Sus scrofa: one gene and its partner. The protein of the gene in region 2 interacts with the protein of the main gene of each other region in a biochemical or structural test. Links are inferred from orthologs where the notes say so. Each region holds a gene or a part of one and is shown on either strand. Other genes may lie near its edges.

Evidence for each region. The genes of interacting proteins can lie anywhere in the genome.
Region 1: the proteins of PRPF40A (region 2) and U2AF2 form a complex in vitro, tested with the Homo sapiens proteins (2 studies listed by BioGRID). The link is inferred for Sus scrofa from reciprocal best matches to the Homo sapiens genes PRPF40A and U2AF2.

What each region holds. Positions count from the first base shown.
Region 1 is NC_010448.4:59,777,076-59,780,721, forward strand, and holds part of U2AF2 (U2 small nuclear RNA auxiliary factor 2), read left to right. Parts: intron 1-874; coding exon 875-1,010; intron 1,011-1,587; coding exon 1,588-1,632; intron 1,633-1,888; coding exon 1,889-1,992; intron 1,993-2,175; coding exon 2,176-2,327; intron 2,328-3,512; coding exon 3,513-3,629; intron 3,630-3,646. UniProt on the Homo sapiens protein: Plays a role in pre-mRNA splicing and 3'-end processing. By recruiting PRPF19 and the PRP19C/Prp19 complex/NTC/Nineteen complex to the RNA polymerase II C-terminal domain (CTD), and thereby pre-mRNA, may couple transcription to splicing.
Region 2 is NC_010457.5:60,404,846-60,408,491, forward strand, and holds part of PRPF40A (pre-mRNA-processing factor 40 homolog A), read right to left. Parts: intron 2,394-3,646; coding exon 2,285-2,393; intron 1,298-2,284; coding exon 1,233-1,297; intron 873-1,232; coding exon 708-872; intron 1-707.

The sequences.
Region 1 (3,646 bases), on a different chromosome or scaffold from region 2:
CGTGTTGATGTGCATCTGAGGGGTGGGGCAGCATAGCTGGGTGTTGGTGTTTCGAACCAAGGAAATAGAGTGCCGCGTGGCCCTGGAACTGCCCCTCTTTCAGGAGTGAAAGGTCTGCTGGGAGCCAAGGGTTCTGTGGTTCTGCTGGGCAGGGAGGCAGAATCTGCCCCCAAGGGGAGGGGAGGGGGTAGAAGGAGCCAGCTAGCGGCCCGTGGGGAGCTCCGAGAAAGCGTCCACCCTGGTTTCTCCTGTCCCTGGCTCTGAGGACCTGTGGGTCTGGGGGGCCTGGGTGGGTCACCTCCCCTTCAGCCCGGATTCTGGAAGGGGCGCCTCCCTGGAGGAGGGCGTCCTGCACTCTTCGCCTGGTGGGGAAGGGCTGGGGCGGGGTGGGTTCCGCTGCTTCCCAGGCATCTCTGAGCCTGCCTGGCATCTGACTTGGGGCCTGGGCGTGGGGCTGTGGGGGCCAGCTGGTTGAGGAGGTCTCTCCTGAGGGGCTGCTGGGTCCCTGCAGGAAAACATCATTGGGTCTCTTGATTCCCCAGCCTCTAGCCCTGCCCCTCTCAGGGACGACCCTGGGGTCAGGCCCCTCAGCCCTGGAGGGGGACCAGGAGCCAGCCTCCTCTGTCTTCTCTGGCTCCCCAGCTCCTCCTGAGCATCCTCAGGTACCTTACACCCCGGGGCATCTCCAGGCCCTGCCCCTCAGGTAACCAGCTCCCGCCCTTGGCGCCCCAGGGTCCTGGACGCCTGTGGACCCAGGAAGCCTGCCGTCCCTTCCCCGTGGGGGGTGGCCTCCCTGGGGCTGGGCCGTAGGTGACAGTGAGCGGGTGGGCCGGGCCGCAGCCTCCCTCAGCTCACCTTCCCCGCCCCTGCCCAGAGCGGGACAAGGAGAACCGGCACCGCAAGCGCAGCCACAGCCGCTCCAGAAGCCGGGACCGCAAGCGCCGCAGCCGGAGCCGGGACCGGCGCAACCGGGACCAGCGGAGCGCCTCCCGCGACAGGCGGCGGCGAAGGTACCGGCGGGGTCACTCTCGTCCCGGGGGCTCTGCGGCTTGTCTTTCTGGAGCTCGGGGTTCCCTGGCCTGGGCTTTCTCGGGTTTCCGGTGGGTCGTTGGTGCAGCAGCGGGCGCTCGGGTGTGGCTCGGGCTCCCTCCCGCAGGGGCTCCGTTGTCCTGCCTCTTCCCCTGCCTGGTCCTTGGGGGCCGTCCCGGGACCAGGGGGTTCTTGGAGCCCATCTCTGCCCCGCCCGCCCGGGCGGCTCTTCTCTCTTCTAACGCCTCTTCCCTCCCCTCCCTTGGCTCCTCTGTTCTCTCTGCCCCTCAGGTGAGGAAGGGCGGGACAGGCGAGGTTCTCCTGCCTCCTCCCACCTCAGGCTCCAGCTAGAGAGTGGTCTGTCGGGCCCTGCCTCCCTTCCTCTGGCCTGGGCGGGGGGCTGGGGGGAGACGCGGGGCCGAGGGGGCCTGCTTGCCTGGGGTTCACCTCGGCCCTGTCCCAGCCCTGGGGCTCAGTGCCCTGGGGGGTGGGGTGGTGAGTGGGGAAGACGAGGGTCCCCAGTCACCCCTCCCCATGCGTTTCCCTCCCACCCCCCAGCAAACCTTTGACCAGAGGCGCTAAAGAGGAGCACGGTGGATTGATGTGAGCTTCTCTTCCTGCCCCTTCCACCCCACGTCCAGTCCCCCACCTCCCTCTGGCCCACCTGCCCCGTCCCTGTCCAGCCCCGGCCCGAGCCCTGGGGAGAGAGTTCCCCCCGCCTTGGAACGGCCCCGTCCCGGATCCTCTCCCTCCTGGAGAGACCGCTGGGGTGGGGGGCAAGGGGCGCCTGGGGGACCCGCAGGCCCACCCTTGGTCAGACTGAGGTTGCCCCGCCCCGCTCTCCCTCGCCCTCCCCCAGCCGGTCCCCCCGTCATGAGAAGAAGAAGAAGGTCCGCAAGTACTGGGACGTGCCGCCGCCAGGCTTCGAGCACATCACCCCCATGCAGTACAAGGCCATGCAAGGTGGGCGCCTCTCTTTGGGGGCGGGGGGCTTTCGGGCCTCTGCCTTTGGAGTCCTTGGCGCGGTGGGGCCAGCGGGGAGCCGCCGAGGGCTGCGCTCCGTTGAGGTCCGTTGAGGAGCGTGCTGCTGCCCTGCGCGTCCACGGGCACCCTGCCATCCTCTGGTTCTCTTCTTTCCTCTCGAAGCTGCGGGTCAGATTCCAGCCACCGCCCTCCTCCCCACCATGACCCCTGATGGTCTGGCCGTGACCCCAACGCCCGTGCCTGTGGTCGGGAGCCAGATGACCAGGCAGGCCCGCCGTCTCTACGTGGGCAACATCCCCTTTGGCATCACTGAGGTACTGCCCTCCCCCTGCCCTGCCTCTCCCTGTCCCCCCTGTTCCTCCCCTCCCTCCCCTCCCTCCCCCAACCTGCACGGGTCAGACTCTGTTCCTGCAAGACCCCCCGGCCCCCTCCCAGACGGACGATGGAGTTGAGCCAGCCAGGGGCCGGGCTGGGGGTGGCCCGCTCCCTCCCTCCTCTCCCCTCCCGTCTCCCCTCCCCGCCTCCTCCAGCACCCAGGGATCAAGCACACACGTACCGTACCTACGCATCCACGGATCCGAATCCGTATGGAGAGACAGAGAGGGAGACTCGGACACACACACACACTCACACACACTCACGCTCACACTGACGCTCGCTCCCCTCCAGTTTCTCTGACACACCTCTTGTTCTCTGCCGCCTGTCCCGTCCTCTCCCCACACTCTCGTTTTTGATCGCCCTGAACTCCCCACCTTCCCCACCGCTCCTCTCCCATCCCCTCTCCCCCACCCCTTCCCGTGGCACCCCTGAGAATCCCGAGATCAAAGAGTTGTTTCCATTTCTCTTTAAAGTGAAATATTGTGGGGCTGAGATCCCTCGTAGCAACAAAAAGTTTGCTACCGTCGTTGAAGGCAAGTAAGGTCCATTCTGACTTTCTCAACCTGCACTTTGCTACATTTGATGAACCAGCCCCCGGACTCCAGGGCCAGATCCCTCCACATCACTCTTTTCTCCTCCCCTCCCTCCCCCCGCCCCTCCGCCCTCCCCGCCCTCCGCCCCCTCTGCCTCGGGTTTCTCTGTCCTGCCTGCTCTCGCTGCCCTCCCACTGTGCTGCCGTTTTCCTCTTGCTGTCACCTCGACGTCTGGTTTGTCGACTCACGTGTTTCTTCTCCTCGCTCTCTCTTGTTTCCTGACTCTTGGACGATCTCTCGCCTTTCCCCTGGTTGGGGCCCGTGGCTCTCCCCGACCTCCTGTCCTGCCTCCTGGACCCTGGCTGTCTCCTGCTGCCCCCCCCCCCCCCCCCGTTTCTCTCATCTTTCTTCTGCTTTTGTTCCTGCTGTGGTCTCTGTGCCCCGACCCCTACTCCATTGTTCCTTCCCTCCCACCCTGCCCTCGTCCCTCTCCCCTGACCCCCAAACCCCTCTGTGTCTCCCTCTCTCACCCTTCCCCTCCTCTCTCCACCTCCCCCCCGCCCCCCCTGTCTCCTCTTCCCTCTGCAGGAGGCCATGATGGATTTCTTCAACGCCCAGATGCGCCTGGGGGGGCTGACCCAGGCCCCCGGCAACCCCGTCTTGGCGGTGCAGATTAACCAGGACAAGAACTTTGCCTTCCTAGAGGTGAGCTGGGCGTGCGG
Region 2 (3,646 bases):
TTTACAGACTTTCAGTTTTTCACTAAGGTTTTTCTGGAAGATGTGAGGTAAATAAAAAACATACAGGGAAAATGAACATAATAGCTATCGCAAATAATGTTAATACTCAATTACCCACAGTTTTAAATAATAAACCACTCCAAAAATGAAGAATGCTATATAAATACAAGTTTTCAAATATGCTATACTTAATAAAAATAGTATATTTCTATTCCACAAACATAAAAATTAAAATTTTTATATTAAAGACAAAGAGAAGCCTTCAATTTTTTCTTGGGGGGGGGGGTCTTTTTAGGGCTGCACCCATGGCATAAATAAGTTCCCAGGCTAGGAGTCAAATGTGGGATCCAAGCTGTGTCTGCAACCTAAACCACAGCTCACGGCAACACCAGATCCTTAACCCACTGAGCAAGGCCAGGGATAGAACTGACATCCTCTTGGATACTAGTCAGATTCTTACTGCTGAGCCATGACAGGAACTCTCACAAGGCTTCATTATTAAAGTTTTTCTTGCCTTTTTGTTCTAGTCCCAAATAAATAACTCAGTCTATTAACTACTGACCTATCTTCCACCTTACAAAAGTGTCATATTCATGATCTGGATTTAGCTTTACATAATCAGCATCTACTCTGGATTAGTTACTGCACTTGGCAGAAAGTCTAATGCAGAAACAGTAAACATATACCATGATCACCAAAAATCTTACTTGTATCTAGTTGTAGAAGTCATTTTCTCATGATTTTCAAGAAAACGTTGAAAGGATTCCTTAGCCTCTTTGTATTTGGATCTTGCTTCTTCTTTTTCTTCTTTTTCTGTCTGGACTTTATAAGCATTAAAGGCCTGCTTCTTTTCACTCAACTTTGCTAAAGCACTAAATAGAAAAATACAATGTAAGAATAAATGAAGGTTAAGATGATCAAACATTAGTGCTTTGAAAAAACAACAGATTTCATTCACAAATTAAGAATACTTAAGAAGTTATTAAAGATAAATCATTACAGAACATAATTTCTACTTAAAAAATATTTCTACTAACATCTGTAGCAGGGTAAATTGTATGACATGCCTTTTAGCTGTTTTGGTTCTTATCAGCCATCAAGCAACTCTACTACTGGTGTCCAAAATAACTGAAGACCATGAGGATGAAAAGTTATATTATTTTACACAATTTGCATTTTCTAGGCTTACTCTGCTCAAAGTGACAAGTAAATTTAAAAAACCAAAATATTACCTGTATCGTGGGTCATTAATAATCATTTTCATAGCTTGTTCCCATGAAGCATTTGATGGTACCCGCTGAAAATCATTTAATGGAAAATTAAAATTACATACAAATATAGTGAAAGTCATACAACAGAGAACAAAGTATAATATTCACTGCAAACGTCAAGTAATTCCCTTTGCAGGAGTTTGAGCTTGGATTGGGTGTTGCCATAGCTGTGGCACAGGCCTCAGTTGCAGCTCCAATTCAATCCCTAGCCTGGAAACTTCCGTATGCCACAGGTGCACCCAGAAAAAGAAAAACAAGAAAAACCGAAACCAAAATTTAAACAGACCATCAATACATTACGAATAAAACACCTTTTATTAAACACTGAGGTGGACTGTATGGTAGTACTCTGTACATATCTGCAGGAATGGGGGGGGGTGAAAATCAGTTTCACAAAAAAAGTACAATAAAAAAAGGACAAATATAGTTCATTTTCAATCTCAACAGTTTCTAAGATTAGATTTTTTTTTTGTCTTTTTAGTGCCGAACCCTTGGCATATGAAAGTTTCCAGGCTAGGGGATGAATGGGAGCTGCAGCTGCCACTAATGCTGGATCCTTAACTCACTGAACAAGGCCAGGGATCCTCAGGGATACTAGTCAGGTTCTTAACCTGCTCAGCCACAATGGGAAACCGTAAGATTAGTATTTAATTTTAACTTTTTATCTTGTCTTTTCTAGGGCCACACCTGCGGCACCTGGAGGTTCCCAGGCTAGGAGTTGAATCAGAGCTATAGCCATTGGCCTATGCCAGAGCCATAGCAAAACCAGATCCTAGCCACGTCTGCAACCTACACCACAGCTCACAGCAATGTCAGATCCTTAACCCACTGAACAGGGTCAGGGATTAAACCCGCAACTTCATGCTTCCTAGTCGGATTCGTTAACCATTGCACCACAATGGGAACTCCAGTATTTTAATTAATAAAAGCAATAAGGTACCAATTGCATTAAAGAATAATTTCACTTATTAGATATTTATTATGTGTCATATAAAAATATGTAACATAAGTACCTTTTCTTTCAGTAATTCTTTAAATGCTTGCTTTGCTTCCTCCTTTGTATTCCAAGTATATGTTTTTTTTGCTGGTTGGTTTTCTTCCTCTTCTTTTTTAGGAGTAAAACTAGAGAGAAATTTATACACTGTGTTTATAGTTTAAATAAACATTTGCTTCATTTAGGAAAATGTTCCAATTAGTATTTAAGTATTTCGTGTTGAGATAAAATTTGACAATTTTAGAATAAAGTATCCTATATGAGATACATAAATAAAAAAGGTTTTTTCTGTTACATTCAGTTATTAAGTCCTTCCACAAACACCTACACTACACCACCAGTTCCATTAGTCCACAACTTAAACTTAACGGCTTACAAAACTTCTTCAATGTCATTTTAGTGTTTAATAACTGAGCATTTGGGCAAGTGTACATAAAATATAATAAAGATGTAGAGATCAATCTAAAATGGGCTTGGCAAATGATGACCCACAGGCCAAACAAGTCTTCTGCCAACTTCTGTAAATAGTTTCAAAGGAACTGCTTAAGCGTTAATATATTGATTACGGCTGACTGTATACTACCAAAGCAGAAATTGAGTCACCATGAGACTATATAACCCACAAAAACAAAAGTATTTACATTTTGAAGGCCTATGAAAAAGTTTTCCAAACACTGATCTCAAATAGAAAGAATTACCCAAACAACTGTACTTGCCGAGAGACCTTTACGAAAATAAATTTATGAAAATAATCCTAACAAGAGAATGAAGAAAAAACAAAACAAAAAACAAACCAAGAAACACATAAAAAGCCCACCACCTTTAAATTGAATACTTAGGGGATGATACTGAAATATATACTAACAAAACTACACATATAGTCACACCCTCTGAACCAGGTAACCTTATTTGGGAAAATTTATTTAAAATTATCAAAAATACTGTAAAAAGCATAGCTGGAATTTACCAGCTATAAATGATCCATATCAAAGTAATTAAAATGTAAAGATTATTATAATGACTCAAGTACTATAATAAGGAAACAGGAAAAAAGGAAGCAAAATACAACTATTTGTTGAAAAATTGTGAAAAACAAATTATTGTGAAAAAAAAAACATTAAGTGCAATTCAAAAGAAGTAAAAAAATATTACTCCAAAAGGCCTAAATGTCAATCATTAGGTAAACACTGATATTAATGTATATATTAATAATAAAATAATGACATTATTCAACTTGATGGAGTATGATCTCTAGTGATATAGTTGTCTGATACTTTTTAAAATTTAAAATATGCACATATTTTAAATGCAGAGAATAAGGCAGAAAGATATTAAAGTGCTATCACTCTTTTATGCCTTCAGCTATACTACATAGATATAT